Arabidopsis thaliana: one gene and its partners. The protein of the gene in region 2 interacts with the protein of the main gene of each other region in a pairwise test. Each region holds a gene or a part of one and is shown on either strand. Other genes may lie near its edges.

The links.
Region 1: the proteins of AT3G03210 (region 2) and RLP16 interact in a protein complementation assay, tested with the Arabidopsis thaliana proteins (one large-scale study listed by BioGRID).
Region 3: the proteins of AT3G03210 (region 2) and AT3G08600 interact in a protein complementation assay, tested with the Arabidopsis thaliana proteins (one large-scale study listed by BioGRID).
Region 4: the proteins of AT3G03210 (region 2) and AT1G07560 interact in a protein complementation assay, tested with the Arabidopsis thaliana proteins (one large-scale study listed by BioGRID).

What each region holds. Positions count from the first base shown.
Region 1 is NC_003070.9:27,905,090-27,912,914, forward strand, and holds RLP16 (receptor like protein 16), read right to left. Parts: upstream 4,270-7,825; 5' UTR 3,559-4,269; coding exon 2,650-3,558; 3' UTR 1,820-2,649; downstream 1-1,819. Other genes in the region: RLP15 (receptor like protein 15), read right to left, coding at 1-68, 221-376, 700-1,069; GDPD5 (PLC-like phosphodiesterases superfamily protein), read left to right, coding at 5,307-5,319, 5,777-5,958, 6,047-6,230, 6,434-6,508, 6,615-6,724, 6,901-7,119, 7,215-7,370, 7,457-7,696.
Region 2 is NC_003074.8:737,750-744,567, reverse strand, and holds AT3G03210 (Pmr5/Cas1p GDSL/SGNH-like acyl-esterase family protein), read right to left. Parts: upstream 3,865-6,818; 5' UTR 3,582-3,864; coding exon 2,475-3,581; 3' UTR 2,259-2,474; downstream 1-2,258. Other genes in the region: AT3G03230 (alpha/beta-Hydrolases superfamily protein), read left to right, coding at 1-90; EXPA13 (expansin A13), read left to right, coding at 593-1,080, 1,601-1,913; NAC045 (NAC domain containing protein 45), read left to right, coding at 6,041-6,197, 6,735-6,818. UniProt on the Arabidopsis thaliana protein: Component of the plant cell wall polysaccharide acetylation pathway. Does not directly catalyze O-acetylation of xyloglucan but exhibits weak acetylesterase activity in vitro.
Region 3 is NC_003074.8:2,609,609-2,616,646, reverse strand, and holds AT3G08600 (transmembrane protein, putative (DUF1191)), read right to left. Parts: upstream 4,473-7,038; 5' UTR 4,002-4,472; coding exon 3,051-4,001; 3' UTR 2,629-3,050; downstream 1-2,628. Other genes in the region: AT3G08610 (NADH dehydrogenase ubiquinone 1 alpha subcomplex subunit), read left to right, coding at 123-212; iPGAM2 (Phosphoglycerate mutase, 2,3-bisphosphoglycerate-independent), read left to right, coding at 5,410-5,574, 5,670-5,948, 6,032-6,235, 6,327-6,751.
Region 4 is NC_003070.9:2,324,239-2,333,212, reverse strand, and holds AT1G07560 (Leucine-rich repeat protein kinase family protein), read right to left. Parts: upstream 5,899-8,974; 5' UTR 5,894-5,898; coding exon 5,809-5,893; intron 5,668-5,808; coding exon 5,130-5,667; intron 5,042-5,129; coding exon 4,560-5,041; intron 4,483-4,559; coding exon 4,338-4,482; intron 4,233-4,337; coding exon 4,161-4,232; intron 4,024-4,160; coding exon 3,952-4,023; intron 3,871-3,951; coding exon 3,793-3,870; intron 3,680-3,792; coding exon 3,519-3,679; intron 3,430-3,518; coding exon 3,221-3,429; intron 3,138-3,220; coding exon 3,011-3,137; intron 2,924-3,010; coding exon 2,867-2,923; intron 2,785-2,866; coding exon 2,595-2,784; intron 2,517-2,594; coding exon 2,117-2,516; 3' UTR 2,065-2,116; downstream 1-2,064. Other genes in the region: APK1A (Protein kinase superfamily protein), read left to right, coding at 64-139, 283-599, 681-816, 919-1,061, 1,167-1,290, 1,375-1,844; AT1G07550 (Leucine-rich repeat protein kinase family protein), read left to right, coding at 6,701-6,782, 6,908-7,445, 7,627-8,105, 8,181-8,325, 8,415-8,486, 8,554-8,625, 8,719-8,796, 8,883-8,974.

The DNA of each region.
Region 1 (7,825 bases), on a different chromosome or scaffold from region 2:
TGGTATGGAGCCGTTAAATCTGTTTCTACTCAGGTCTAGTAATTCCAAGTTTGTCAAATCTCTAAGTTCTGAAGTGAAAGGGAGTCCAATAAATAAAAGAATGCTACATACTAAAATTAAAGACATACAAATTTTACAGCAATATCAAGCCAACAAATGATCCATGATCGATAGAAAGGTCACGCTAGATAGTATGATTTAGTTAAGAATGTAGAGATACCTTTAGCAGGAAAAGAGCCATCCATGTTGTTGGACCTAAGAAACAGAGTTGTGAGTGATGTAGCGGCACTAAGAAAATGAAATATACTGTTGTTGAATTTATTTGAAGCCAAATCCAGAATCTCCAACTTTCTTAATTTTCTGAGGCTTTTATAACCTGCAAACAAGAATCTTGTTAACAAAGTATATGAAAATAACATAGTTCACTTACATGCTGAGCAATGATGCATGCAAATGGAGATAGTGAGAGAGGAACTCTATGCAAATGGGACTAGAATGTAAGTGAACGTTTGATGTCATTGCAAAATGCAACATTTCTCAGCAAGTAAATGCAGAGACAGAGAAAAGCTAAGCACTGTATTATCAGAAGATATGGACTTTCTTGTATTAAAACAATGAAATAAGAATTAGTCCACACATGGAAAATATCAAAGTGAGCATGCAACAGAAAAATGTTTTAAAGTAATCAGTATGGTATACCTTCCACATCATCAAACAAGCCACTGCATCTGGAGCTTGATAAGTTCAAACTTCGAACATCTTCAAAGGGATGCAACAAAGAAAGATTTAGGAGAGAATTATCTTTTAGGCTCAGTCCACCAAAGGAAATCTCGGTCACCCGTCCGCTTACACGATTGCAAGCAACGCCCTTCCATCGACAGCAATCGCTCGTTGTATCATTGGTCCAAGTAGGGAGAACAGACTCGGATTCAGTTCTTGAGATCATGTGTTTCCTGAGCTCAAACAAAGCGATCTTTTCTTCATCAATACAACTTTTGTATCCATGTAACTGCCCCATCAGTAGCATCACCCATATCAGGTTGTGACCCAAGAACACCTTCCCTTCCATTGAAAATGTGATGGAAGAAAAAAAGAAGAGAAGAAAATGTATGAAACTCAAACTCAAAGATTAATGAAAACACTTCAAGGCAATGTAGTTAAATATATACAAGTGTCTCCACGTTTATAAGAATTTCTACATCCGGTGAAAACAGAATAACGTCAAGGTCAACGACGAATAATATTGGTTATATTTACAATGTTGAAGTCTCTATTACCTAAACACTTAAGATTCAAGTGATCACATTCGTTTATTTTGACTGGTTTAGCCTTATAAGTTATAGTACCTTTGAATCATTCAATGATATTTGTTATATGTCAATGATATTTGTTGAAATGCCTCTCTTTGATGTCATGGCCTTTGAATTCTGTTGAACAACCACTAGACTTGAGGAAGCCCAACGCTGACGGAGTTGATGAGGAGGCTCTCTTGGATCAGTTACTCCTGAAAGTCTGAAACAGAGGTTGATCTGTAACGGCGTCGTTTGTTGGCGTCATTTTGTCTTCGAAGAAAATCTCTATAGTCAACTGTGACTAACTCTCGCAGCTTCGAAGAAAACAAATTTATTTTTTTACAAATAATTTTCAACTAGTCATCCAAATAGATGAAATAAATTAGTTGTATAAAATAAAATTATTTCGGTAAAACATAAGATAAAATGGAAATTAAATGTATTTATATTCATTTGTCTTTCGTAATGTGTACTGTTTCTACGATGAAATTGTTTCCTGAAGAAATTCATGTGTTACTGTATATTATGAATTAAACCAACCACCAAACCAGTCCAAGATATGTTTTGAGGCATTACTTTTATTCAAAGACAAAAAGACAGTACAGAGGAACCAAAACATAAGCTATGTTCTGGTTTTGTGAAACAAAGCAGGAGGTTTGAGAAGAAGAACAACAGAAGGGGACGACAATGAAACTAGCACGTAAGAAACATTTTGTCACCTGCAGTATTTTACCATAACAATTTCCTAACCTTGTGAACCAAAGCATCGACGATGTAGAACCAAACTCTGCTCCAAGGAGAATCAAATGAGAGTGATGCGAGTAACCCAAGAAGGATTGTTATGTATGCTGCAACAAAACTCCAGTAGAAAGAAACCATGTCGATCGTGTTTTCAACAGCTTCCACTCCATAATCTGCTTCTTGAAAGGTATTACCAATGCATCTTATGTCGGTTGGTTGCCCACAGAGAAGAGGATTGCCTATGTAGCTTCGCATGTCAAAGCTGTTAAACTGTTTTCCCTGTGGAATGACTCCTGAAAAGTTGTTGTATGAGACATTAAAGACCTCAAGATTGCTCAACTCCGTTAGTTGTGGTGGGATCTGACCTTGTAATCTGTTGAAAGAAAGATCAAGGCTTTCCACATTCTTCAGTCCTGAAAAGCTTTCTGGTATACTCCTGATAAGTTGTTGTGAGATAGATTGAGAGCATGTAGTTTCCGAAGATCTCCAAACTCTATTGGGATCTCACCGCTCAGCTCATTTTTTGAGAGATCCAGTCCAAACAATAATTTGAGATTTCCACCCCTGTAGGCATCATATCTGTGTTTTGTTGCAAACTCAATTTTCGTTTGGGTGCTTAACTCATAATCGATAGCAAACCCATCTTGCACGAGCAGAGATTTGAAAAATGTACTGACAGGTGCTCCCAAAGAAAAAACGTAATGATTATAAATAATCGTCTAATGTATCCTCCTCTCCCCAAACCAAGTGATGCATTCCTAAGACATGAAGGTATGGATCCATTTAATTTGTTGTTAGCAAGATCCAGGAGGTGAATGCTTCTTACGGCACACAACCGGCGAGGAATACTGCCTGTTAAATTATTCCCTCGGAGAAGAAGAATTCTGATGTATTGGGTGTTGATGAACTCCGGAATATTCCCAGACAATCTGTTATTTCTCAGATCAAGCACAATGATATTCTTCCCTAGCAGTGTATCTGGAATAACCCCTGATAAATTATTGTCTCGCAGGAGTAACACTTTTAATGCCCCATATCCAGAAATGGCTTGAGGTAAGTCCCCTGATAAACTGTTTGCAGAGAGGGCCAGTAGTTGAAGACTGGACATGTTGAATAACGATATAGGTACTTCACCTTCCAACAAGTTGTTAGAAATCTGTAGCGAATGTAAGTCTTGAAGTTGGTCAAACCAACTTGGAATAACACCTGAGAGATTGTTGTTCGAAATGTCAAGCATAATCAAAGATCTCAAGCTCTGCAAACCTCTTCCAATCTTTCCTGTAAACAGATTGTTATCCATAGACAGCTCTAGTATTGAAAAAAAGTTTGATGCTTCTGGAAAAACCTCCTCACTTAGTTTCTTATGTGATAGTTTCAAGACTATCAAGGAATCACAACCCTTCAAAAAACTTCTTGGTAGCTTCCCATGGAAACTGTTGTGAGATATATCCAGAAATTCAATCATTTCCATGTTACCCAGAGAAGATGGTAGATTTCTTTGAAAACCATTAGTCGTTAGATTCATATAATGTAAGCAAGGAAGTATTCACCCAATGTTCTGAGGAAAGAGTTGATCAAATCCATTAACTGAAACATCCAGGTAAAGCAGATTATGATCAGATTGCGGTAGCTGCAAGCTTGTAAAAGAGTTATTCTGTAGAAGCAAAGCCTCGAGTTTTGTATTGTTCTCCAGCAGCCACGATGGAAACTTATTATTGTTAGAGAGATCAACATGACGCAAATCCTTCTGGTATAGGAAAATGAGGAACCTTCACCAAATTGCAAGCTCCTAGTGAAATAACACTCAACTGAAATTTCGGCTTCCAAGAACTTCCCAACTCTACTTGAAGTGAGTTAGATTTTGAAGAAAGGTTTACCAAAGGAAAGCTTGATAACCCGCCCGCTAGTGCGATCACTCAATGACCTTCCACAGACAGTAATCACTCTTTGTGTCATTAGTCCAACAAAGCGTTCTTTTCATTCTGAATACAGCTTTTGGATCCATGTATCTGTCCCAGCAGTAACATAATCCATATCAAGTATTGGCCCAAAAACACCTTCCCTTCCATAGCAAATATCAATATGAGACAAAAAGTGAAACAAAAGAAACTCAAACGCAATATGTGAATATGAGTTCAAGCAAACATCTCCCCACCTCTATAAGAATTTCAAATTTCCAGCGGAAAACACCAAGTTCTTCAAGAAATATCTGTAAATTTGAAAAGTCATATCTTTAGCGTCTAACTAACTCACTTAGAGTAGTATGGTAAGACTCGTTGGGCATACAAGTCAAAGTCTCTCTAGAAAATGAGTGGTTTAGCATATGATATTTCGCTTGTCAGTAGCCAAGTAAATTAACGAATGAGATTATTGCAACACAGGCCCAAGAATTAAATTTTTGAATTGATTTTTTAAAACAACTACTCACAATCATATATACCACAAAATGATTCAAGTGTTGCTTACACATTCAGTGAATAAAGTTATAAACTTTGAATTCTGTTAAACATGTGAATAACTAAAGCATTATATGAACAAAAAAATCTAACCTTTAAAGTTTAAACTCTCTGCGGTAACTGTATTGATTATGTGGCATAATATGCCACGTCAGAAACAATGGATGTTACCGCCAACACCAAAAACGCCACCGTTTCCAGCAAACATTTTATTTTTGTCTCCGCCCAAATAAAAACCCTACATCCTCACGAAACGGCGGCTACCACCGTCGCTGTCCATCAATCGGAGTTATAAACAGCAATTGGGTCGACCCAGACCTTAGAAATGAAGCTGGAACAGCGATCAAGACGTACCGGACCTTCGACTGGGAGTCAAAAAGTATATTCCGGCGAGCTCCGGCGAGACGCATAATGAGGTTTCGATGGTGAGGATCAATATTAAAAAAAGTTGGTAATGCATCGCTTTTTTTTGGTGGGGGAATATAAAAGATGGGAGGATGTTCTTTGCAATTTTAGCATGGAGAGGCGTTGCTTGGTAGTATTACTACTTTTTATTCAGAAATATAAAATGCAACCTTAAAAAGTCTTTGTCAACCAAAAACAAATGGAATATTCGGAAAACGTGAATTGAAGAAGAAAGATATAATATTCGCCCAAGAGCGGTAAGCCAAGAAACAGGTCAATGGAGTAAGAGTGATATATCATATATGTATATCATTAGAAACACTTTATTATAAATGGACAAGAACTGATAGAGTGGGATAAGAGACAAATAAGGAGAATCAAACAAGCAATCCGATCGATCTACCAGATCGCCATGATTCTTACAAGTAAGTAAAGCTTCTCAATTTCAACCTTTTCTTTTTGTTCTTGTTTTCTGGGTTTTGTATGCATGAAATCTTTCTGTGCTTCTGATTGCTTTCTATTGCATTAGCTTGTGTTTTTTTGGTGAAATTTGTCTAATTTCACCTTTCTTCGTAAAACTGAATAGTAAATTAAAAAAAAGAAGCGAATAGGTTGAGAACAAAGTAAGAATCTGGATTTGTTTCATTTTTTTACTATACACTAAAAACAAAAAAATTTAATCTTTTATTGAATCTGGATCTGTTTCTGTTTCTTGTTTCATTATAAGCTTAGAAAATTTTTTGGGTCTTGAGAGACCAAAGCTTATTTCTCATTCTATCTGGATTTGTTTCCTGTTAAGCTAAAAAAAGTTTGAGTCTTGGTTCTGTTTTTGGCTCTGTTTCTGTTAACGTCAATACAAAGTGGTTATTGGTGATCTTACAGGATGCTTACCCTTGATATGGCTATCTCTACTTACTGTGTGTGCTGCTGGGAGGACATTGCACCCTCTCCCTGTTAAAGGACCCAAAACTGTCAAGCTTCAACTTCAGACTTCACGTCCTTATAACATCGCACACAGAGGTTCCAATGGAGAGATCCCAGAAGAAACTACAGCTGCATACTTGGTATACTGTTGATCTTTCTTGATCAATCTCCTTCTCTTTGATGATTTCCGAAGATAAGAAGTAAAACATTTTTTTTTTCTTATGATAGAAAGCAATTGAAGAAGGCACAGACTTCATAGAAACAGATATCTTATCATCCAAAGATGGTGTGCTCATATGTTTCCATGATTGTATTCTCGACGAAACAACCAATGTTGCGAGCCACAAGGAGTTTGCAGATCGTAAAAGGACATATGATGTCCAAGGATTCAACATTACTGGCTTTTTCACTTGTACGTTACATCAATTCTTCTTCTGTTTCTAGGTCTGAGTCAATGCATGCTGCTGGATTCGGTCTCAGGATAGAGTCATTTGCTCAAAATATCTCTCGCACATAATCTCATAACAGCTAGAGAAGCATCTAATAAAGCTTCAAGTTGGTTTGTTTGAGTCTGAATGATTTGCTAACAAGTGATTCCTCTTTCATTGCTTGTAGTTGATTTTACACTTAAAGAACTAAAGCAACTACGTATAAAGCAGCGATATGCTTTTCGGGATCAGCAATACAACGGTTTGCTCGCCTTTCTTTCCTGTATTTTGGCTGTTGGAAGATATAAAGTAAGAACTGCATAATACAGGAAATCTTTAACCATGCCCATATCTTGCTTGTATTTCAGGAATGTACCCTATCATTACATTTGAGGAATTTCTTACCATTGCTCGGGATGCTCCAAGAGTTGTTGGAATATATCCTGAGATTAAAAATCCAGTTTTAATGAACCAGCATGTGAGTCACAATCCTAAAAGCTTGACTTCTACTCTTACTGAAATCCTTTAGAGTGACTTTTAAAAAGCCACATATACCATTTGGTTCAATTTGCAGAAAATGATTTCTTTTTGGCTTTCACTCCCACTGCAGGTGAGTCATTAACCTTTGCTTCTATCACTGTTATATATTTGCAGGTCAAATGGCCTGGTGGTAAGAAATTTGAGGATAAAGTTGTGGAGACACTTAAGAAGTATGGGTATGGAGGCTCGTATTTGTCCAAGAAGTGGTTGAAAAAACCACTATTTATTCAGTCATTTGCCCCAACTTCACTCGTGTACATATCAAACTTGACAGACTCGCCGAAAGTCCTTCTAATAGACGATGTTACCATGCCAACGCAAGACACTAACCAGGTCAATGCTCTGCTCGTCGTATTGTTTATGATTCCTGAAAGTTCTTTTGCTTCTATTAAAAGTGACTGATTGATCTTTCTTGCAAATCTAAGCAGACATATGCAGAGATCACATCAGATGCGTATTTCGAATACATCAAGCAATATGTTGTGGGTATCGGACCATGGAAGGATACAATTGTTCCGGTAAACAACAACTATGTGCTAGCCCCCACAGATTTGGTCAAAAGAGCTCACGCACACAATCTGCAGGTAGGATTTATTTAAGATTCATCCGGTGACTGAGAGTCAGTAACACATGCTAACTTCCTGACCATGTTCTTCTGTTACAAACTCAGGTGCATCCCTATACGTACAGGAATGAACACGAATTCTTACACTATAACTTTAGCCAAGACCCGTATAAGGAGTACGACTACTGGATCAATGAGATTGGAGTTGATGGACTCTTCACTGATTTCACAGGCAGCCTCCATAACTTTCAAGAATGGACATCTCCATTACCTGATACCTCCAAGTCTCCACGACAGCTTCTTAGTCAAATTGCCTCATTGGTCCTCCCTTATGCAAAGGCTTGAAGTTCCACATAAACACCTATCAGTAATCCTATTGTTTGCAATTAATTGTATTGAATAAAGTTACAATGATTATTCTGAAGAAGAACACAGTTGTTAAGAAGCAGAGGAGTCTTAAAGATCAAACAAAAG
Region 2 (6,818 bases):
AAGCTCCATGAGGTCCCTGATGGTGGACATTATATTATCCATGAGAAGCGGCATTTTGAAGCCATTATCAAAGCCGCTTGTAGTGACTAGTGGAAGATACATTATAACAAAAAAAAACTCTAAAAGATTTGTATCTAAAATCAGTTTAAGAAAAATTATGGCTATGTAAGTTTCATGTGACAAAGAACATTATCTAACCTATTTACAATAATTTATATAAATCTGGTATGTCAGATAGTACAGTTTACAAAAAAAAAATCAAATGTCAAATTGATCCAAATGAAAAATATCATGACATACTTTTTTGAGCATGGGAGAGAGTCGGATGGAGACACATGAACGAAAGGTAAAGTTGACCCAAAATTGTTACTGAAGTCCTCACTTTGATCACGAGATTTGGGTTTTGTGATTTGGGCCTTACCCTAACCCATTTCGATTGAGGGCATTTTAGTCATTTTATATAAACCGACAAACCGGTAAAAGCAAAATGTTTTCCCACTAAAAGACTGAAAAAAACACTAAACCAAAATTAAATCATCAAAAATCAAAATCTCTAAAATCAAAAATTCGCATTTTCTCTCTCGCCGGAGAGATGCAACGGTTTCTTCTACCTTTACTCTTCCTTGCACTATCGCCGCCGGCGATTTGTCATTACTCTTCCTCAACCTCTTCACCTTCTTCGTCCTCCGTTTCTTCCGACGCCTCAGAATGGCGTCCAGCTCGAGCCACCTACTACGCCGCTACGAATCCTCGAGACGCGGTGGGCGGTGCGTGTGGATACGGAGATCTCGTCAAATCTGGGTACGGTATGGCTACTGTTGGTCTAAGCGAGACTCTGTTTGAGCGTGGTCAGATCTGTGGTGCTTGTTTCGAGCTCAGATGTGTTGATGATCTCCGTTGGTGTATCCCTGGAACTTCAATTATACTCACCGCTACGAATTTCTGTGCTCCTAATTACGGATTTGATCCCGACGGTGGTGGTCATTGTAATCCACCTAACAAACATTTCGTGCTTCCGATCGAAGCGTTTGAGAAGATCGCTATTTGGAAAGCTGGGAACATGCCGGTGCAGTATCGAAGGTGCGTTTCTCTCCGCTTTTTCCCAATTTGTTTCGCGTTTTGTTAAAAAAATGCGTTTGCGGTGGTGGGGAACGCGGTTCTGCTTTTAGACGCCACTATCGATTTAAAAAATCCGGCGATGCTTTTGCTTTTGTGTCTTCTTCGATATCCGTGTGCTTTATTATGTGAGATGGGTTTACCCTAAATCTCTTCCTCAATATGCAATTTACTTTATTGCCCCTAATCGTTTTATCTTAGTGTGTACAAGATTCTGAGAAATGGTAGATAGGTTTGCTCATCATAGTTGAGTAGCTTTGCTCTCATTTTCATCTTAGCCATGAGAGGACTGAAATTGACTGTTTCTGTGAAGTTCTAGGCACAATGCGGTAAACTACTATTTAGGTTCATGATACAATGGATCATTAGATCCTTTATTAGTTTGTGAAGTGTTTTGGAGCTGAGCCTATAAATAGTTAGTTGCATATCACTTAAGTTATGAGTTATGACTTACAACCATTTTTGTTGGCTTTTACCAAAACAGGATCAACTGTAGAAAGGAAGGGAGCATGCGGTTTACAGTCGATGGTGGAGGCATTTTCATTTCGGTTTTGATCACCAATGTTGCAGGGTCCGGTGATATAGCTGCTGTGAAGATCAAAGGGTCGAGAACCGGGTGGTTACCTATGGGTCGTAATTGGGGACAAAATTGGCATATTAATGCTGATCTCAGGAACCAAGCTCTCTCATTTGAAGTAACTTCTAGTGACAGGTCAACCGTGACATCTTACAATGTCTCCCCGAAAAACTGGAATTATGGACAGACCTTCGAAGGGAAACAATTCGAGACTCCGTGAGACAGAGACGGACACATTGAGATACAATCCCATGATTCTTTTTTTCCGGGTCAGAATTTTTTGATGGCAAGTATATCGATCTTGGTCTAAGGTTATCTTTAGGGTTGAAAAGGAAAGAACTTGGGTCAGACTTTTGCATTTCATAGTTCTCTCTCTCCCACGCATAGGTACAAAAACTCACCAATGTACTAAGAACAGTGATCACACAAACATCACTATTGTATCTATTTGTTTACATTACTAAGGAGCGAAAGCTTCCTTCAAGTGCTTAAAGCTAATGATGAGTACTGAGTCTTATCGTAAAAAGAATCCAAAAGGGTACTGTGATATAACAAGAATCAGAATAGCTAAAGGTTATAACTTCTCAAAGTCAAAAGATATTAAACCTATTATAGCCATGAATGTAAGTTCACTTACTTCTCCAATGTGAAGATCACTCAGGCCAAAAGGATCACCGTGTGTTGTAAAATTCCTATGAACATCCCACTTCTCTTAAAACTCTACAAGAGAACCCCAAACAAAATAAAAGGAAAAAAAACAAAAAAAAAACGTGTCAAGAACTCATAAAGATTGATGAGATTCAATAAGCAACGCATTGAGCATGACATGGACAGCGGCATCATAGACCGCAGAGTCATAATGCATCCCGTCAAGTGTACATTGCGGTCCACAGTTCCAGGTAAACGACTGGATATCAAGCAAGATAAGAGGACCACCCATTTGACGTAAGATCTTACTCTCCCCGAGTGATCTATCATACTCATGCCACACCGTATCACTCATCTTCTCCTTCTTCTCATCCGTATTCAACATCCCGTTGATCAAAACCGGCATCCCAATCCAGAACAGATGCACAGATCTACCGGAGACCGACCCACCTCCTTCTTGCTCCTTTGGCGTAAGGGGCACTAGAGACTCCACATGACTACTCAATTGCCTCAACCTAAAACCAAAATCTGAAGCATTGTTCACATGAAGCATATGCCATAACCCAGTTCCCATGATCACAACATCAGGATACTTTTTCATCTTCTTATAAGATACCACAAGATCATCCAAATCTTTCTCATAAGGAGCCCAAACAAAATCAAGCTTCATCCCAATCTCCTTAACCACAATGCTGTAATCACTATGTCTCCTAAACAAATCCCCTCTAACCGAATCCATAGCCTTGGAATCCGAACCCAAAACAAGATTCAACAAAGACAAAGCCACGAATCTCGCCTGAGAATCACCAGCAACAACAACCCACGATCCATTCAACAAATCCGAAACATCGAACTTATCCAATTTCTGAAACTCACAACTCAAAACTTTCCTCGATTTCATCCAATCCCAGTTCTTCACGAAATAATCAAGCTTTGTTGAGCCATTGTTCCTACGAACAGACTCCGGATTCGGTACCGGTTTAACATCCCAGACAATCTGATTAACCTCGTTGATACAAGAGATACGATGATCGTAGACAACAACAGAGGAAACAGAGGCAACGATGTCGGAAACGGAAGGGAAATAAGGCGTGAGATGAACACAAACCGCGAGAGAAATAAACAAAGCGCCACTAAAGAAGAGCATCTTGTTCCTGCTCAGATGCCAACCAGCCATTGCCATGGGAACGAAGAGGACGAAACAAGCTGCTAATACTCCCAAATGAATCGCTCCTAGCATCTCTCAGACTCAGATTTCGGAATCAGACACATCTAGATTTCCATCTAGACAAAACCAATTTCATCCAGATTCGAATTAACTCTTTTTCTCTATAATTTAAGAAGAAGCTAGGGTTACGGATTTGGTTCGGTGAAGAGAATCTATCAAAATTGAAGGTGAAGATGAAAATTTGGTGAGATTGAAAGGAACAGAACAACCGTAGGCTTCTTCTTCTTTGGTTCGATTTTTTGTATTTAAAATTTTCCATATTTGTAAGATCTCCATTAATTTATGATCTCATCTCTCTGACTCTCAGACATGGTTCGGCTCACTTTAGCCTCATTATGGAACTGGGAACTATTCTAACGTGCGCTCACCGCTGGGAATCACGTGACCGCTTTTAGATTAATCATAAGTTCCTCGGCCCACGGTCAAGCCCATTTATTCACGTGACCGCTTGTAGATTGATCATAAGTTACTCGGCCCACGGGAAAGCCCATTTAGCCCACATCGTTCAACAAATCAATGACACTTTCCTTATGTGTATTTTCATACGTACGATTTCATCTTGGAATGACATTAAATTCTGTAGATCCGCGTTTTCATCATATAATAAATGGAGAAAAAATCATTATAATCATTTAGACTTCTTTTTTTATAGCTAAAGTTACATGTAATTTCGTGATTTTTCTTCACGGTCTTAAGTCTTGGGGATCTTGTAGACTCCGAAATTTCATAATAGTTTCAACCGATTTTTACATATTAACTTTTAATTTATTACTTTCTCATTCTAACCAAATTTATATATTTTTGCCAATGAGGCAATGACCCAATCTAATGGTGGGGCTAATCATAGGACTAATATGTTATTAGTTTATAGAATGTGTGTGAACGTTAAAAAGAATTAAGTAAAGAACCAAAAGATGGATTCATGTGAGGGAAATGTCTCAAGAAGGGTATGTACTATGTACACATTGTAGATATATTAAAGATATATATATATGTGTATATATATGGTGATACAAAGAAGAAAGAGAATATGGAATTTGGAATAATGAGAGAAAAAGGTTATGACGATGATGAGAAAGGCTGAGAAGTGATTCTCTTGGGTTGGCCCATCAATAGCTTCCAAGGATTTATTCACATGTTCACAACTGCTGGATCCCACATGATCATACATATAACCATCTCAAAACCATATGCTTGTTCAAATTTTATATATATATATATATATATATATATATATCTGATCGATTTCATTTTTCCAAATTTTAGATAAGTTTTTTTTTGATAAATCAACTTTAGATAAGTTTTATAGTCGCCTACACCAAATGTGACTGTATGTTCATATGATTATATATAGCTTTCGAGTTTCGACCAAAATGATAAATACTCAAACTATAATTTCTTATATCCATAAGTCTTTGGAGTACGTAATTGGACTTTCGGTCAATAGTTTTTCTATATTGGAACAAAAGTTTTGGTATTTTATATGACGACACTAAATATGGAGAGGAAAGGATTTCTGGCCACTCAATTTTTTAATTTTTGTTTCAAAATCTCCGAAATTTCAATTTTTTTTCCCGAATCACACAACCTTACATTAACAGCCTAATACACTAGAAAATATATGAGCATTAACTGATGGAACGACCATAAAATGGAGTTCATCTTTCTATTCGATATACGATATACAATATGAATATGAGAAACAGAAATAGACATATATAAATGACAAAATAAAATGTAAAACACTACTAGTATAAATTTACAACATCAAGATATCTATTTTTAAAAAAGATCTATGTACGTAGATCGGATGGCAATGTGAAGGGAAACAAAGGATTCGCATGCAAGTGGGTACAAAAGAGACAGTTATTTCAGTTAGAAGTGCCGCCAAATAACAAAAAAAAAAAAGAAAAAAAAGAAAGAGAGATTGCAACAGTTTTGGGTTAACCCAAGATTCGATCTCCCATGCAACCAATAGAAATCTGACAAGTGCACATATATTCCAGACCGACCACTCTCGGAGAAGCATGGGATAATATAATTGATGAAGAAACACGGTTTACATTTAGGGCGGCAATTTTTGATTAATTATTCCGGTTAAGTACCAGAATCTACACGTGATCATGTTATTTGTTAGCATTTTAATTATCTATCAATATAAAAAAAACACTTCGAACAATATTATATATGCGTCGGACAGAAATTGATGAATTGTAAATATTAATTAAATTTTGAATTTTTTTAACATTATATGTTATTTTGGGATGGGGACCTTCCCTTTATTCACTTTTGCATCTCCCTTTTTCATTACCTCTTTATATATAACCTTGCTCTCCAAGCCCTCAACGAACACAAAACATATACCTATTCTATAATCTCTTCTTCTTCCTCTCGAGTCTCGATTCTCTCTCTTTCTTTCTTTGAAATTGATTCAAACAAAATAACTTCAAGAACAACTTGAGATTATATATATGGCTCCTGTCTCGTTACCTCCAGGTTTCCGATTCCATCCAACAGACGAGGAACTAATTACTTACTATCTAAAAAGAAAGATCAACGGTCTAGAAATCGAACTTGAAGTTATCGCTGAAGTTGATCTTTACAAGTGTGAGCCATGGGACTTACCAGGTAATATTAATTTGACGTTTCCCTTGTTTATGCATGAGATCCACTTAATCAAATATGATTTAAATTTTTTGAAAAATATGATTTCTGATCAACATTAATTACGCGATTCTACTTTAGTTATCAAATTCTGCATATATTATTCATTTATATGGATTTAAATTACAACATCTGTAATCGTTAAGAATTATTATTATTTGTCTAAAACCCATAGGAACAAGAGAGATTGAAGAAAAGAATAAGAATATAGCATTGATGAAGAAACCCTAAATATACTTTAGTCTCTACCGGGAAAATACCACATGTGCAATTACACATACTAGTTCTGTAAATAACTATTTTATTATTTTTTTCATCATTTTCACCAAATCTTTTAGGAATTAAAATGTCAAAATAATTTTTAAAAATGTTTAAATATAAAATTGTAACTCATGAAAACATGAATGCCAGCTTAATTGAATCATAATTTTAATTTACGTCATCCAATATCTGCTGATAAATTACGTTACTTAAAGTAATCAATTATGAATTCAATAATAGGGAAGTCCTTGCTTCCGAGCAAAGACCAAGAATGGTACTTCTTCAGCCCACGAGACCGGAAGTATCCCAACGGCTCAAGGACAA
Region 3 (7,038 bases), 1.9 Mb from region 2:
CCTTTTCGATTCATTGCTCTCTCTCTCTCCTAGGGTTTGCTCGATTTGATCCGGTTTATACAAATTTGGGTACTCTATTGAACATTTGGTTGATGATTTGATTTGAATTTGTGATTGGGCAGCCTAAGCACATCGGCCACGATGAATGGGATGTTGCTATGGAAAGACGCGACAAGAAAGTCGTCGAGAAAGCTGCAGCTCCTTCCTCATGATTCGCTTTATCTCTTTTGTGTTCCTCAGGTGTGTGCTCATTCTCTCCTTAATTATTCGTTCCGCTTTCTCTGAGCTCTTTCTTAGTTTAGTCCTCTTCGATAGCCATGATACTGCTTGTATATTGGAAAATCCCCCAAAGACACCTTCTTTTGTTGCTCCCACGAGTCAAATTTCATATGCAAATCAGTATATTGGTTTTGTTGTTTCATAAGCTAATTAGTGTGCCGGTAAAGGTTCAAATGTGTGATCATTTGTGTTTTTGGTTCTTGAAATTTGAAAATGGATATGCTTTCAGAGCTTTATAAGAGAGGCCCTGTGGATATAGCTAGTGTATAAGTATTCTTAAGCAACAAGCAGATTTGTTACTACTTAGTTCTCTTCTCTGTCAGTTTGAGGCTTCAGGGTTCCTGGTTTGGTTGCTATTCTGTGTAGAGAAATGAATCATATCCTGAGTTTTGGGTACTCGATAAATTATCCTAGGCACTTCTGCTTAGTTTTTGTTTTACCACTGGAAGCTTCTGGATGGTGGTTTGTTTTATTTGTTTTTGCCCTGTCTAGGAATGATTGAGGTCCTGGTTATGGTTGGTTTATTGATAATCTTTTGGAGCTGTTTTTATTTTTTGTAATGTGAAGCTCTAGGACAGTGATGTTCTTTCTTCTCTGCATGCGAAATCCTCTCACTACTTTCTTTTCTTCTCCTCTGGCTTGCGATGTTAACTCTGAGAGTAATATGGTGATGTGATGTAGGGGCTTAAGGTGACCACTTGTGGTGACAAATAAAGTGCATTCCAGAAGAAGAAGAAGCTGGGGGATCTAGTACTTTCATTCCCATTTGATTTTCCTTGGACATATTAAAGCTTTCAGAAATCAGACCTCAATAACATTTGGTTTATCAATATTTCTCTATTCGTGATATTTTGTATGCTTTTAAGTTGCATGATACACTGAACTACTCTCTTGCTGTGTGAGTGAATAAATGAATATCTGGAAAGATGGCTCATCCTAGTACTTCTCTCATTCCTAGTTATACTTTCAAAAGCATCAGTATCATCTTCAGGTGTTGGATTTGTTGCGGGTAGGAACTGGAATTGTATAAGATGGAAGTGGAGATTGTGAATATGCATGAGAGAGTCCAATGAAGCCTTGTGATGATGAATCACATGGTTTATGACTCTGGCTAATAATGGAGGATGGTTGATGAATGAGAACGGTCAAAGCCTCTGTCTCTGCTTGCAGATTCACATGGGGTCCCCTCGCTATGTCTCTTTCAAGTGGGCTCGTCTCTTAATTCTTCTTCGAAATGGTCCACCTTGTGACGAAACCTATCTTTTTTAATTGTTTTTGCTCAAAGGAATATTTTTTATTTAATGTAACTAAATCGATCTTACCAACCAACACAACTACATAGATTCACTTCTAATTTCTCTTTAAAACGACACCAGCTTCTGCCAAAAATTACAACTCCTCAGGCAGAGAGAGTTCTTCTTCTTTCCTTTACTTTTTCATGTGTTCACAAACAAGCTCTTGATTATGATAAATTACATAATCAAATCTTTTATTTTCTCCGGTTCATTAAGATTCGATCAACCACACCAGAATATGAGCTAGGAAAAATATGAAAGACCAATGTTGAGAGGAATCTCTTTTACTCTTTAGTGAAAAAGAAGCTTGTTTTCATTTTACCGTTGAGACCTGACTTTGATGTATTTCTTTAGCTTTCTAATAGAACAGATAACAGAAAAAGAAGAAAAGAGACGAATATTCTACAACTATAGTTTCCTTTTGACAAAAACTGGCAATTATTTGTGTGTCCTTGAAACACAATTAATACCGCATTTATACATTTTACTTCATCTCTTTTTCAACCTTAAGATTTTGGAATGATGAGACAAAAAATCTCCTGGTATCTGCAGAAGTCAGAGGAGATGCTGCAATGCTAACTTAGCCATTAACGTTGTTGTCATGGCATTTTACTTGATATGAGCAAGAGGCCACAAGATGGCCCAAGCCAGGATTAACCAAGTCATGTATTCACTTTAACTCAAACTTTATTCCAAATCTGTTCAGTGCAAAGATTTGTAGCTGTGCACATTGTTACATACCTGAAGTGGCAAACGGTGCTTTTCTAAAATGTAGAATGCAAAAAATCCATATGAACGAGATGACTTTTCATATAAGGTAAGCAAACAAGACAATCCTAGATGTAAACATAAACGTTGTAACATTGCCAAGTGCAAATCATCTTCTACATATCCTACCGGATTCTAACCTCTTTGGTTCCAAAATCTATTGGTTCATCGGTGATCTTCTAATATAAATGTGAGGGTCAACAAGTTGCATGAAGCAGATAGCTGCAAAAAATGTTAAAACTCAACAAATCTCAAGAACACACTAGTTCCTTTTGAAGAATGCTAAGCTCAATGTAACAAAGTTGAGTATGGATGATAGGATGATATACATCTTCTTCAACTGTCTGCTTCTCAGACAAAAAGATGTTGAAATTATTACAAAAAGGGCAAAGCTTTACAGCAAAAGTAGTTAGAAGAAAACAAAGTGAGTGCACTCCAGAAACAATCCAACTCTTTTCATTCTCATGGAGAGACCACCAAAGTTTGTTAATTTGAGAGCACAAGAAGAAAACAATATTACTTATTTCCTTATCACCAGCAGAGAAACAAGATGAATGTGGAAGTATCAACTTGCTTACCACAAAGAAAAAATAATCAGAAAAAGAAACACTTTACCAAAAGAAGAATAATTGTAGAAGAAAAAAAGAAAAAGACAGTAACAGATGATCAAGAAGATGTGATGATGATGATGATGTACACAAAAGTATCCTAAGCTGCGTATTCGGTTTCAAGCATTGGTTGTGTACGAGTCGTAGTAGCAGTTGGTGCTCTTGTTTCACCAACCTGAGTCATCCTCAGAGCTTCCCCTGTCTCTCCAGCTCTCTCCATCTCCCTCATTTTCTCTTGCTTCTTGTAATTTCGACATCTCAAAACCAGAAACAGTAAAAGCCCCAACAGTATCAATCCACCAACCACCGACCCAACAATGATCCAAGTCTTGGAATTGGAATCAGAGCTCTTCTTCTTCTTCTTACTCTCAATCCCAGGAGGAGCTAGACTCGGAGCAGAAGCCACAGATTTCACCACCACAGAGAAATGTCCCTGATGCTCAGTCTCGCATGTGTTTCCAGGCTGAATCGAATCGCTGAAACTCGCTTCACCTTTAGAATCGAATCTAACACACTTAGCACTAGACCCTTGCGGGATTCGTTCCAGATCAGAGAAATCGATTCTGATAGGATCATTAGACACCCTTAAATCAAGCTGAGGCAAATTAAGCGCAGAGAGATTCTTAGCATCGTAAGCGAGAAGACCCAAGACAGGAGCGACATAATCATAACCAGACAAAGGGTAATACAAGTGAGAGAAATTAGCTAGGTTTTGATAAACCAAAACAAGCCTTGTCACATACGGCTTGACGATAACGCCGCTGGGAATTGAGAACTCATTAAAAGGAGTGACTCCACGTTTTCTAAAGCTTCCGCTTCTGAGTCTCATAGCAGCGAGTTTGATCCCAGTCAAATTGGAAGGAACAGTAGTAGCCTCGTAGAGAATGCCGGTACGAGGACGAAGCAAGGCTCTAAAAGAGTAATCTTGAAGAAGAGCATCGAGTGAAGAAGAAGAAGAAGCATTGGGTGAAGAAGATTGAGCAGAGAGCTTTTGTAGACGAAGAGATAGAAACAGAAGCAGCAGCAGCTGGAGACAACGGAGAAACCCCATTGCTTTTTTTTGTTTCTTTCGCCTCTGGAGCAAAAAAAAATCCCCCCAGGGCGAGTCAAAGGTGGGAGACACAGGAATAAAAAGTCGCCGTCACGTCTGAGTAGAAAAAGGGTAAAAAGGGGAAATGGTGAAGAGAAGAACAAATCGAGGAATGAGGGTTAAGGAGCAATGGAGGAAGCTGAGGAGGAGGAGGAGGAGGAGGAGGAGAGAGAATGAATGGTCGCCGGTGGAAAAGAGAGAGAGAGAGAAAGGAGAGAAGGAGAGAGCCAAAAGGACAAAAAGGAGAAGAAGAGTGTTGTCGTCAGTCCCATTTGTTCACAAAAAAAAAAATGATACAGCCTGTTCATCTGATTTTTTCTCCCTTTACACATTAACAAAAATTTAATATTTTGTTTGTTTTTTTTACTTTCCTTTTCGACCAATCATATTGATACATTGCGGCATTCAATTTCGCCGTAACAGTTGTCCGTCTACCTCTTATTGTGTTATCTGTATCTCTCTCTGTATATTTCCCATATATGTATACTGTATGATTCTTTTCTACTTTTGTTTTTGTCTTTCCTTATCCTTGGCCCATTTATCTGACTATGAACCACGTCTCATCTAGTTTCAGGCTTTTTAAGCCCAATATATAGGAACTCAACTTTTTGTCTTTGGCCCATTAGAAATTGTTTTTTAGCCTTCTACCAACCTTTTGAAGGTTCCCAGTTAATATTATGATGATATTGAATAAATAAATGTGCACAACCCTGAATTTCTTACATGAGTTTTCGGTTTGGTTTTCGTGTAATTTCAGTTTGATTTAATGCAATCTCAAGGTTTAAATAATGATTTAGATAAAAAAAAGTTACTGTCAACAGAAATTAATGTAATCCCAGTTACTAAAACTTACCCATTTTTGATCAAATTCTGGTTCAAATACCGTATAAACTATTAAGTTAACTCCGGTTTGACCTTTTCTGTATGCTATTTTTTACGTTGACCAAAATAAAAAGGTATATACAATTTTTTTTACATGGCGCACACCATGACTATTACAAACGGCATGATCCAGAACATTCGTTCATAGCAGCTAAAACTAGAACATTCGTCTCCTTCCATTTTTTTGGGGGCTTCACAATGTTTACTTGAGCCCAAAGTAAAGCCCATTAAATTGGTACCACGTCATCGCTAACTTTTCCATTTCTATGTTTCTATAAAAGTCTCATATTATGTCAGTGATAGCTCTCAACCTACCATACTTCACCACATAACCACTTCTGTCTCTGCGAATCTCCATAAGACTCTTTGAGAAGCTTTCCTCTGTTTCTCCGCTGGTAAGCTTCCGTTATCTCTCTCTCTCTCGCTTCTCAGATCTGTTCCTTAAACCTTTAATTTCTCACCGACGAGTGGATCTGAATCCACAGTTATGGGTAGCTCCGGCGACGTTAACTGGAAACTTGCGGACCACCCCAAGCTTCCCAAAGGCAAAACTATCGGTTTGATTGTTCTCGATGGATGGGGTGAATCTGATCCCGATCAATACAATTGCATCCATAAAGCTCCAACTCCTGCCATGGATTCCCTTAAAGACGTATGTTTCCTTTTTTGTTTATATCCACTTCTTTCCTCGATGATTTCGCTGGATTCCGATTATGGACTTCAACGGTTCGATTTTATTCTTCACAGGGGAAGCCCGACACATGGAGGTTGATCAAAGCTCATGGTACCGCCGTTGGTCTCCCCAGCGAAGACGACATGGGAAACAGTGAAGTTGGCCACAATGCTCTTGGAGCTGGTCGAATTTACGCTCAAGGTGCTAAGCTTGTTGATCTCGCCCTTGCTTCAGGGAAAATCTATGAAGATGAAGGTTTCAAATACATCTCTCAATCTTTTGAGAAAGGCACTGTGCACCTTATTGGTCTTCTAAGCGATGGTGGAGTTCACTCTCGTTTGGATCAAGTCCAGGTACTTAATTCTCATCTGTTACACATTTCTTTTGAAACGTTGGCGTTTGTTAATTTTCTTTAATTTGGTTCTGTTTGGTGCAGTTGCTGCTTAAGGGTTTTGCAGAACGTGGTGCTAAGAGAATCCGCGTCCATATTCTTACTGATGGTCGTGATGTTTTGGATGGTTCTAGTGTCGGATTTGTTGAAACTCTTGAAGCTGACCTAGCTGCTTTACGTGCGAAAGGTGTTGATGCTCAGGTTGCATCTGGTGGAGGTCGAATGTATGTCACAATGGACCGTTATGAGGTAGGCAATGCTTGTGAGATCTTGTATGAATGTCATGCCTTGTCTAGTCTAGTTTAGAAATGAATCCAATTTTTGCTTTCCTTCCTTGCAGAATGATTGGAGTGTTGTTAAACGAGGTTGGGATGCACAAGTCCTTGGGGAAGCTCCCCACAAATTTAAAAGCGCTCTTGAAGCAGTTAAGACACTGAGGGCAGAACCTGGTGCCAATGACCAGTATTTGCCTTCGTTTGTTATTGTTGATGATAATGGAAAGGCTGTGGGTCCAATTGTTGATGGTGACGCAGTTGTTACATTCAATTTCCGTGCTGATCGAATGGTCATGCATGCAAAGGCCCTCGAATACAAAGATTTCGACAAGTTTGATCGCGTACGTGTCCCTGATATACGTTATGCAGGAATGCTCCAATATGATGGAGAGCTTAAGCTTCCTAGCCGCTATCTTGTTTCTCCACCATTGATTGACAGAACTTCTGGTGAATATCTGGCACACAATGGCGTTCGTACTTTTGCTTGCAGGTTAACTTTTAGAATCTCTCAAATCTTTAGTTATTGTCTTTGCCATTTTCTTCTATTGCTGCTTCCTGGTTTATTTATTTGCTGGAATTGGATTCATAATTGAAACTGTGATAAGAGTAATCCAGTCTTCTTTACTTGCTCGGTAGAGGTCTAATTTATGATTGGGGGTTGTTTGTTGATTAAAACTAGTGAAATCTCCTAGCTCACTTTTTCTTGATGAGATTATACCGTTGATGGTTAGTTACATATAATGAATGAATTCTCAGCTATTAACCTATTAAAATTTT
Region 4 (8,974 bases), on a different chromosome or scaffold from region 2:
TCATGGGGATTTGCTTGAGTGCTCAGGTCAAAGCTGAGAGCTCAGGTAAACACATTACTTCAAATGCTTTTTCCTATCACAAACTATGAGCCTTCTCGTAGGAATCTTTTGGCTTCTGTTCCTCTGTTATTCTGTCAAGGCAAAGTACTTAGATTTGTTGTTTCATTACCTTAAAGTTTTGATTTTTCCAATCTGAGGTTAGGGTTTTAGGTGTTTCTGTCAGATTTGGTTCGAATGTATGACGAAACTAATACTTTTTTTGTTCTTATTTGGTTGGCTTAGGAGCGAGTACGAAGTATGACGCCAAAGATATAGGAAGTCTTGGGAGCAAGGCTTCGTCTGTGTCTGTAAGACCAAGCCCTCGAACTGAGGGTGAGATCTTACAGTCTCCAAATCTCAAGAGTTTTAGCTTTGCTGAGCTTAAATCAGCAACCAGGAATTTTAGACCAGACAGTGTGCTTGGTGAAGGTGGATTCGGTTGTGTTTTCAAAGGATGGATTGATGAGAAGTCTCTCACTGCCTCAAGACCAGGCACGGGTTTGGTTATTGCCGTCAAAAAGCTTAACCAAGATGGTTGGCAAGGTCACCAGGAGTGGCTGGTAATAATGCTATAAGTTAAAATATGCCAATTTTGGTTCTTGTTTGTTTTTCATTAATCTTCAGTTTTGATGATTTTGCAGGCTGAAGTGAATTACCTTGGTCAGTTTTCTCACCGTCACCTTGTGAAGCTGATTGGTTATTGCCTAGAGGATGAGCACCGTCTTCTTGTTTACGAGTTCATGCCTCGGGGTAGCTTGGAGAATCATCTTTTCAGGAGTATGTCGTCCTTACTCTTAAGTCTAATCCCAGGCTGAGGTCAAACTTAAAGCTTTGTTATGACGTTTGTGAATATTCAGGTTTGTTTTTCTTGGGTTACAGGAGGTTTGTACTTCCAACCGTTATCTTGGAAACTTCGGTTGAAAGTTGCTCTTGGTGCTGCAAAGGGACTTGCTTTTCTTCACAGTTCCGAGACAAGAGTGATATACCGAGATTTCAAGACTTCTAATATCCTTCTTGACTCGGTAATTTAAACTTTTACTCATTGTTAATAACTTGATATGATTGCCATGACAGAACTGCAAAAGTTTTAAGCTTTATGATGGAAAATTTCTGGTACATAATCTCAGGAGTACAACGCAAAGCTTTCTGATTTTGGGTTGGCTAAGGATGGGCCAATAGGTGATAAAAGTCATGTCTCTACACGAGTCATGGGTACACACGGATATGCAGCTCCTGAATACCTTGCAACCGGTAAGTGTCGGATCCTTTTTGGTCAAATCTTTGTTTTCTGGAATTGGCTTCTTCATATGAATGATCACTTTACATTTTCCTTAGGTCATCTAACAACAAAGAGTGATGTCTATAGCTTCGGGGTTGTCCTTCTGGAGCTGTTGTCTGGTCGTCGAGCAGTGGACAAGAACCGCCCATCTGGAGAGAGGAACCTTGTGGAGTGGGCTAAACCATACCTCGTAAACAAAAGAAAGATATTCCGAGTCATTGATAATCGTCTTCAGGACCAGTACTCTATGGAAGAAGCATGTAAAGTGGCTACTCTGTCTCTGAGATGTCTCACCACAGAGATTAAGCTGAGACCAAACATGAGCGAGGTTGTTTCGCACCTCGAACACATTCAGTCTTTAAATGCTGCTATAGGAGGAAATATGGATAAAACAGATAGAAGAATGCGTAGGAGAAGTGACAGTGTTGTCAGCAAAAAAGTGAATGCAGGTTTTGCTCGACAGACTGCTGTTGGCAGTACAGTTGTTGCTTATCCTCGCCCATCAGCCTCGCCACTGTATGTTTGAATAGGGTTAAACACGTCCTGGGTCTGTGTTCAGTGTTCTTGGTAAAACATTTGCAGGACATGAAGTTCCTATATCATGTCCTGAGAATGGAATCTGGATGTACAGTTTTTGTCTCTCTTAATGTAAGAATTCTGTTTAAATACAGTTCACCTCTCATTACACTACGACAAACATTTAATTTTGATCTTTGTAACATGAGGATTCATCAACATAATGATAAGTTCGTTCGCATATCTGCTTGTTATGAATGCTGCAAAGTAAAGAGTAAAAGACTAACGTGCCTTGGGGTTCACATCTGTGCCAAAGCTTAAGTTAATGTCCATGGATCTCGATGTGTCTATGTCTCTTGTCCTGTTGTTTTCAGATACCAGACACTCCTTCAGCTCATGAACAACATGGGACATGTTGGGTCTTTTCAAGGAAGAAGGATTCACACATGTCATTGCTAATTCAAGAGCTTTCCATGCAGAACCAGAGTCATAGACCCCTTGAAGTTTAGGATCCATAATATTGCTAATGTCTCCTCTAGTAAGCATAAGTTTCACCCATTCTGCTATGTGAGGCATGTCGCGGTTATGATCGATCACCGGTTTGTTTGTAATAATTTCTAGCAGTACAACACCAAAACTGTAGACATCACTCTTCTCAGACAACCTATTAGTTTGGTAGTATCTGCAAGACGAAATGATTATGATTCTTTTGTTTTAACCGGTAGAGAAGATAGTTTTCAGAAAGAGCTAAAATTCTTACTCATGATCAAGGTATCCAAATGTTCCAGCAACAAGTGTAGACACATGAGATTCATCCCCAATGGGAAAAGATCTAGAAAGCCCAAAATCTGCAAGCTTAGCTTGTAATTGATCGTCCAATAGTATGTTAGAACTTTTTACATCTCTATGAACTATCAGCGGTTTGCAACCAATATGCAAGTACTCCAAACCTGTCTCCAAAGTTCTTTGGTGTTTAACAAAACAATAGAAAGTTTGATCAAGTGGTGTTAAAAGGAAATGAAAATGACGAACCTGACGCTGCATCAACAGCTATGTTTAGTCTATCAACCCAGCTAATGATGGAGCTACCTGCATGTATTAGCATAGACATGAATGTCACATATCAACACGATGCATTTCTGTCATGATATATGCATGAGAATATACATGTGTTACCTGAAAAATGTTTTTTCAAATCGCCATTGACCATGTACTGGTAGATGAGGGCCAGATGATCTTTTTCATCACAGTATCCAACAAGACTTACCAGATTTGTGTGGTAAACCCTTAGAAGAAGTTCTACCTATCCAAATATGTACAATATATAATATACGTCAACTTAGCCTTACAAAAATGTATAAAAATTCATAAGGGTGCCAAAGAAACCTCTGTTTTGAACTCTTTATAGCCTTGAGCTGATGATGGAGAGAGTAGCTTGACCGCTACTTCTTCAGTACCATTTATATAACCATGATAGACCATTCCAAATCCTCCTTTACCCAAAACCCTTTCAAATTTCTTTGTCATGGCAAGAACTTCGGCATATGTATATCTTTTCTTTATTGTTTCTATTGATTGTTGGCTTGGTGATGGACCTAGAACCATACACAAATAATTAGAAATCACTTTATAATTATGTATGCATACAATAATATTTCTGGTTTGATGAATTTGATACAGATACCTTTTCTGCTTGATGAGCGTCTTTTAATACAAACAAAAAGCAGAGCGATCATTGCTATTATAGCAGCCAAAGAAGCAAGTGATGCAACAACTGGTAACATGATGCTATTTTTCTTTTTGTTGCATGAACTGGAAAAACATAGGTTTGGATTTCCCTGAATGCTAGTATTGTAAACAAGCTAATCAAGTGTTAGTGAAGACATACTGCAAATTAAGATATCATATTTCAATGACCATCAACTATTGAAGACTAAATATAGTTGAGAAGATCTTACTTCAACTTCAACCCATTTTTCACTTTGTTGAGAAGAGCTTGAGGGACTGATCCACTAAGGTTGTTTCCGCTTAAGTTTCTGCCTAGGTAAAAAATAAACATCAACAGACTCGGATAATAAATTGGCAATGTGATTCATATGAGTGACCAAGTAACTTACATGACTAACAATGATTTCATTTTGGCTAGAAATTCAGGTACTCCACCTGTTAGATTATTATTTGAAAAGTCCCTATCATATGCAAAAATGAATTAATTGATTATATGTTTGGCCTTGATAAACAGAGTATTCAAGTAAAACAGAGTATTCAGGTAAAACAGAGTATGTGTTTGACCTTGATAAAAAATTGGCAATGTGTTCATACTTACAATTTTTTAAGCTCCGTAAGATTTTGGATCTCAGGAACTATAATTCCAGTTAGTTCACTTGAGGACAAGTCTCTGGTGGTAATTAAAGATCATAACACACATTTAAAGTGTAAGATGTTACGAAATGCAGAGCTTAACAAAAAACTGTTTTAATGTTACGAATAGCCATGGACGTACAAGGAATGGATTCTTGGTGGTGTAGACATATTGGTGTACTCGCAGGTAAGACCATCCCACAATAATTGTTGAGGAACACATGGATCTCCTTGCCAACTAATTCTACTTAATCCATAGCTTGTTTCTATGCTCTTGATAGCAAGGACTAACACACAATAACAGAATGAAAACACTTAAGTATATACAAAAAAGTATATATATACTCAGATTTTGCTGACATACCGTCATTTGCATTAGTTTCAGACTGCGGAAACTCCACTGTTATAAAAGCCTCAATAGCATTGAGGAGGGGAGGGAGAGTTGATTTTGGAGTTTTTATTAGTTGCAAATGGCATGTCCCTCCTTCACATTTAACTGGTGATGTATTGAATAGAGTACCCACTAGAAACTCGTCAGGACTAACAGGTCCATAGTTAACATCTTGGCCTGCGCTAATGTTGAATTCCCTGGTATCATTTTCCCTTAAGGATTGGATCTCAGCGACGTGGAGGTATGCATAAACTAAGTCGTCAGGTGTTTCCAAATTCCAAGAAATGGTTAATGGTGAACTCACATTTGCAGGTGTGGCTGCCGTAACCACTACGTCTTCCGGTATGTCATAGCCGTTATCATCAGAAGTGTTGACCGTGAGACTTGTTCTTAACAGTCTCCATTCCGGCATGAAAAATGGACTCCAAAGACGATCATGGACATCTTCTGGATACCTGAAGAGAAAGGATGGAAAGTATTACCGAACAGTGTATCCAGTGGAAACCAATCTATTCATTACCAATTGGTTTTGAGTTGGCTTACCGAACAGTTTCTTTGGAATCAGTCAAATGGACGCGGAACAATGTCTTGAGGGAACCAGATTGAGGAATATAAGTATTATTTCTCAATGGTCGTAGTTCTAAAGCTGATATTAGCGGCGTAGTTGTTCCCGTCTTAACAAGACAAATCTGCAAAGAAGTTGACCTTGGTATGTGAATGATTTCCGCCCTTGTTCCGTTTACATTTCTTTGCAAATCGACCGTGGTCCATATATTTGGACCAAGATAAAGGTCGAACTTTGGGTGTGTGTTAAGATTATCGTAGTTTCCATAAGTAAACATGGCTACGATCAGATAGTTTGTGCCTTGTATGACGATAAGAGTATAACAGTTTCGTACTCCATCTGGAAAATATCTCAAAACCGTGTATGGCTTTATATACTCCATCCCCGGAACATTTTGAATCTTGCCGCTTTTTCCACTTTTGATGAAATCGGCGTCTGATGTGAATGTTAACTTTGTTAATGGTTCGGTATAAGGAGACTCATCGGCTTGCAACCCGCAATCCAAACTGATGAATCCTGATAAAGGCAAAAGAAAAAAAACAGAGAAATAATTTGGTAAAAAAATAAGTTTGGAAACTGAATTAATGACTAAATTGTGATAGGAAACATGTTTAGTCAAAGTTAAAAGAAGAAAACCTGAAACAAAAAAAGTTATACCTTGTTGATCTTGTGCTCGAAGAAAATCGGAAATGCCTAAAGACAAAACTAGGAAGGCCAATAGAAGTCCACGGAGGTTTTTCATTTTCCCACCTCTGTCCAAAAAAAAAAAAGGATTACGAATTGCCAATGTACTTGCAATATAAAACATGCCAAATCAAACCTTTGGATATAAAAAACGGATGAATTGTTAAATAATTATTTATTAACTTATATTTCTGCTTGGGGCGGATCATAACGGGAAATATGTCAACGTTCACATACCAATAACAATAAGCCACCTATTGAGTTGGACCGATCTTCTAACCAAATTCGAAATAATTTGTCTAATAATTTGATTATGGTAAGACTTTTCTCAAGTGGAATTATAAAATCTGACAAGTGTGTGTCATGTTTAAATTTTATAAAAAAGGTTTGCAAGTGGAAATTAGTAGAACTGATTGATTCTAATTGGTTATCATCAAGCACACCTATAGTAGATTAACCTGAGAAAATGAGTTATTACCGTGTGTGTGAAGGGATGTCATATTCATATATGGCAAAGTCACCGATCGTGTCAGAATCAAACCACGAATATAAGCAAAAGTGAACAAATGAATCGAGATTTTTAAAATATAGAGAGTATATAACCTGGTTGCATATTTTTCATTTCAAAAATTTTATAATCAACCACTAACGTCTTGATTTATTTTATATGGATATTATACCAGTGGTTAGCTGTTATTATTCGTTAGATAAAACCATGGCAAAAGTTTAAGTTTTTAAAACAAAATTTATACGTAGACGTCACCATGATTAATTCCATTTGCAGCTTATAACACTAAAAATTTGTCCATTTCAAAACTTTGGTAGTAGTAAGTTTTGTTAGTTGTGAACGAAGAAATCATCAAAAATGGACACTTGCACCAGGCTTCTGTTTGCTGCGTGTGCCACTTTATCCATCTTACATCTTGTTCAATCTCAGAATCAACAAGGTCTTTTTATCATCTGTTTTTCTTTTTTACAATAATTTTGGAAATAAACCATTCTAAATTTTTTTTTGAGATAGAACTTTATATAAGAAAAACAATATGTACCTCTCCCTTTTCGGTCTTACCAGGATTCATCAGTTTGGATTGTGGATTAGCTTCTAACGAGTCTCCTTACAACGAAGCAAATAGCAATCTGACGTACATATCCGATGCTGATTTCATTCAAGGAGGAAAAACTGGTAATGTCCAAAAAGACTTGCTTATGAAACTCAGGAAGCCATATACGGTTTTGAGATACTTTCCGGATGGAATCCGAAATTGTTACAGTCTAAATGTCAAGCAAGACACAAATTATCTAATCAGGGTTATGTTTCGATATGGAAACTATGACGGGCTTAACAATTCTCCAAGATTCGACCTCTATCTTGGTCCTAATATTTGGACAACCATAGATATGGGGAAGTCAGGTGATGGAGTTCTGGAGGAGATCATTCACATCACAAGGTCTAACATCTTGGACATATGTCTCGTCAAGACAGGGACGAGTACACCAATGATATCATCCATAGAGTTGAGACCCTTGCTATATGATACTTATATTGCTCAAACCGGTTCCTTGAGGAATTATAACCGGTTCTATTTCACCGATTCAAACAACTATATACGGTACCTTATTTTCACCTTATGCTTTATAAATAACCAAAGTAGATTATGAGCAGAAACTTTAATCTCCACAAAAACTTTAATATTATTGTCATTTAAGCCATCTAGCGTAAACCAAGATTATACAGTATTAATTATTGTTATTAGTTGATGTAAAGTAAAATATATAACTTGATTTTGGCAGTTATCCCCAAGATGTGCATGATAGAATTTGGGTGCCGTTGATATTACCAGAATGGACGCATATAAACACAAGTCACCACGTTATTGATTCTATAGATGGCTATGACCCACCACAAGATGTACTTAGGACCGGCGCCATGCCCGCTAATGCCAGTGATCCAATGACCATTACCTGGAATTTGAAGACGGCTACTGACCAGGTTTACGGTTATATTTACATCGCCGAGATCATGGAAGTCCAGGCCAATGAAACTAGAGAATTCGAAGTTGTGGTAAATAATAAAGTTCATTTCGATCCTTTCCGTCCTACCAGATTTGAAGCACAAGTTATGTTCAACAATGTACCACTGACATGCGAGGGAGGATTTTGTCGTCTGCAACTTATAAAAACTCCGAAATCGACTCTTCCACCCTTGATGAATGCTTTCGAAATTTTCACGGGCATTGAGTTTCCTCAATCAGAAACAAATCAAAATGATGGTATGTTGCCTTTGAACAAATATGCATATAGCTTTTTACACGTATTATTTCTTGCTAATTTGCACCATGTTTCAGTCATTGCTGTAAAGAATATTCAAGCTAGTTATGGACTGAACAGAATCAGCTGGCAGGGCGATCCATGTGTCCCTAAACAGTTTTTGTGGACTGGCTTAAGCTGCAACGTAATTGATGTGTCCACACCACCAAGAATCGTGAAATTGTGAGAGCATTTATTCTAACTCAATGTTGTTAGCAAATCTTAAGCCCTGAAATGTATCTGATGTGATATGTCTTGGATCTTCCAAACAGAGATTTGTCTTCAAGTGGATTAAATGGAGTTATACCACCTAGCATACAAAATCTAACTCAACTTCAAGAACTGTACGTATCTCTATAACAAAATGAAGATGTATTCAAAACACTTGTTAACAATTTTTTGTTGCAACAGGGACCTGTCCCAAAACAACTTGACTGGTAAAGTGCCTGAATTTCTAGCCAAGATGAAATATTTGTTGGTCATGTAAGTGTTGTTGAAAGCAAAATAAGCCATTTTTATCATAATGTTTTACATTTACTAACTAGATGATCTACTGATTTGTCTATATATTCACAGAAACTTAAGTGGAAACAAACTTAGCGGTTTGGTTCCTCAAGCCCTTCTTGATAGAAAAAAGGAAGGATTAAAGCTATTGTAAGATTTCTTTTTGAGATGATCTTTATTGATTTACTACGTGCCCACTCTCGTTTCTGAAATTCACTACGTTCTTTATTCTTTAGGGTTGACGAAAATATGATTTGTGTGTCTTGCGGTACAAGATTCCCAACAGCTGCGGTTGCGGCATCTGTTTCTGCAGTGGCCATTATCATAC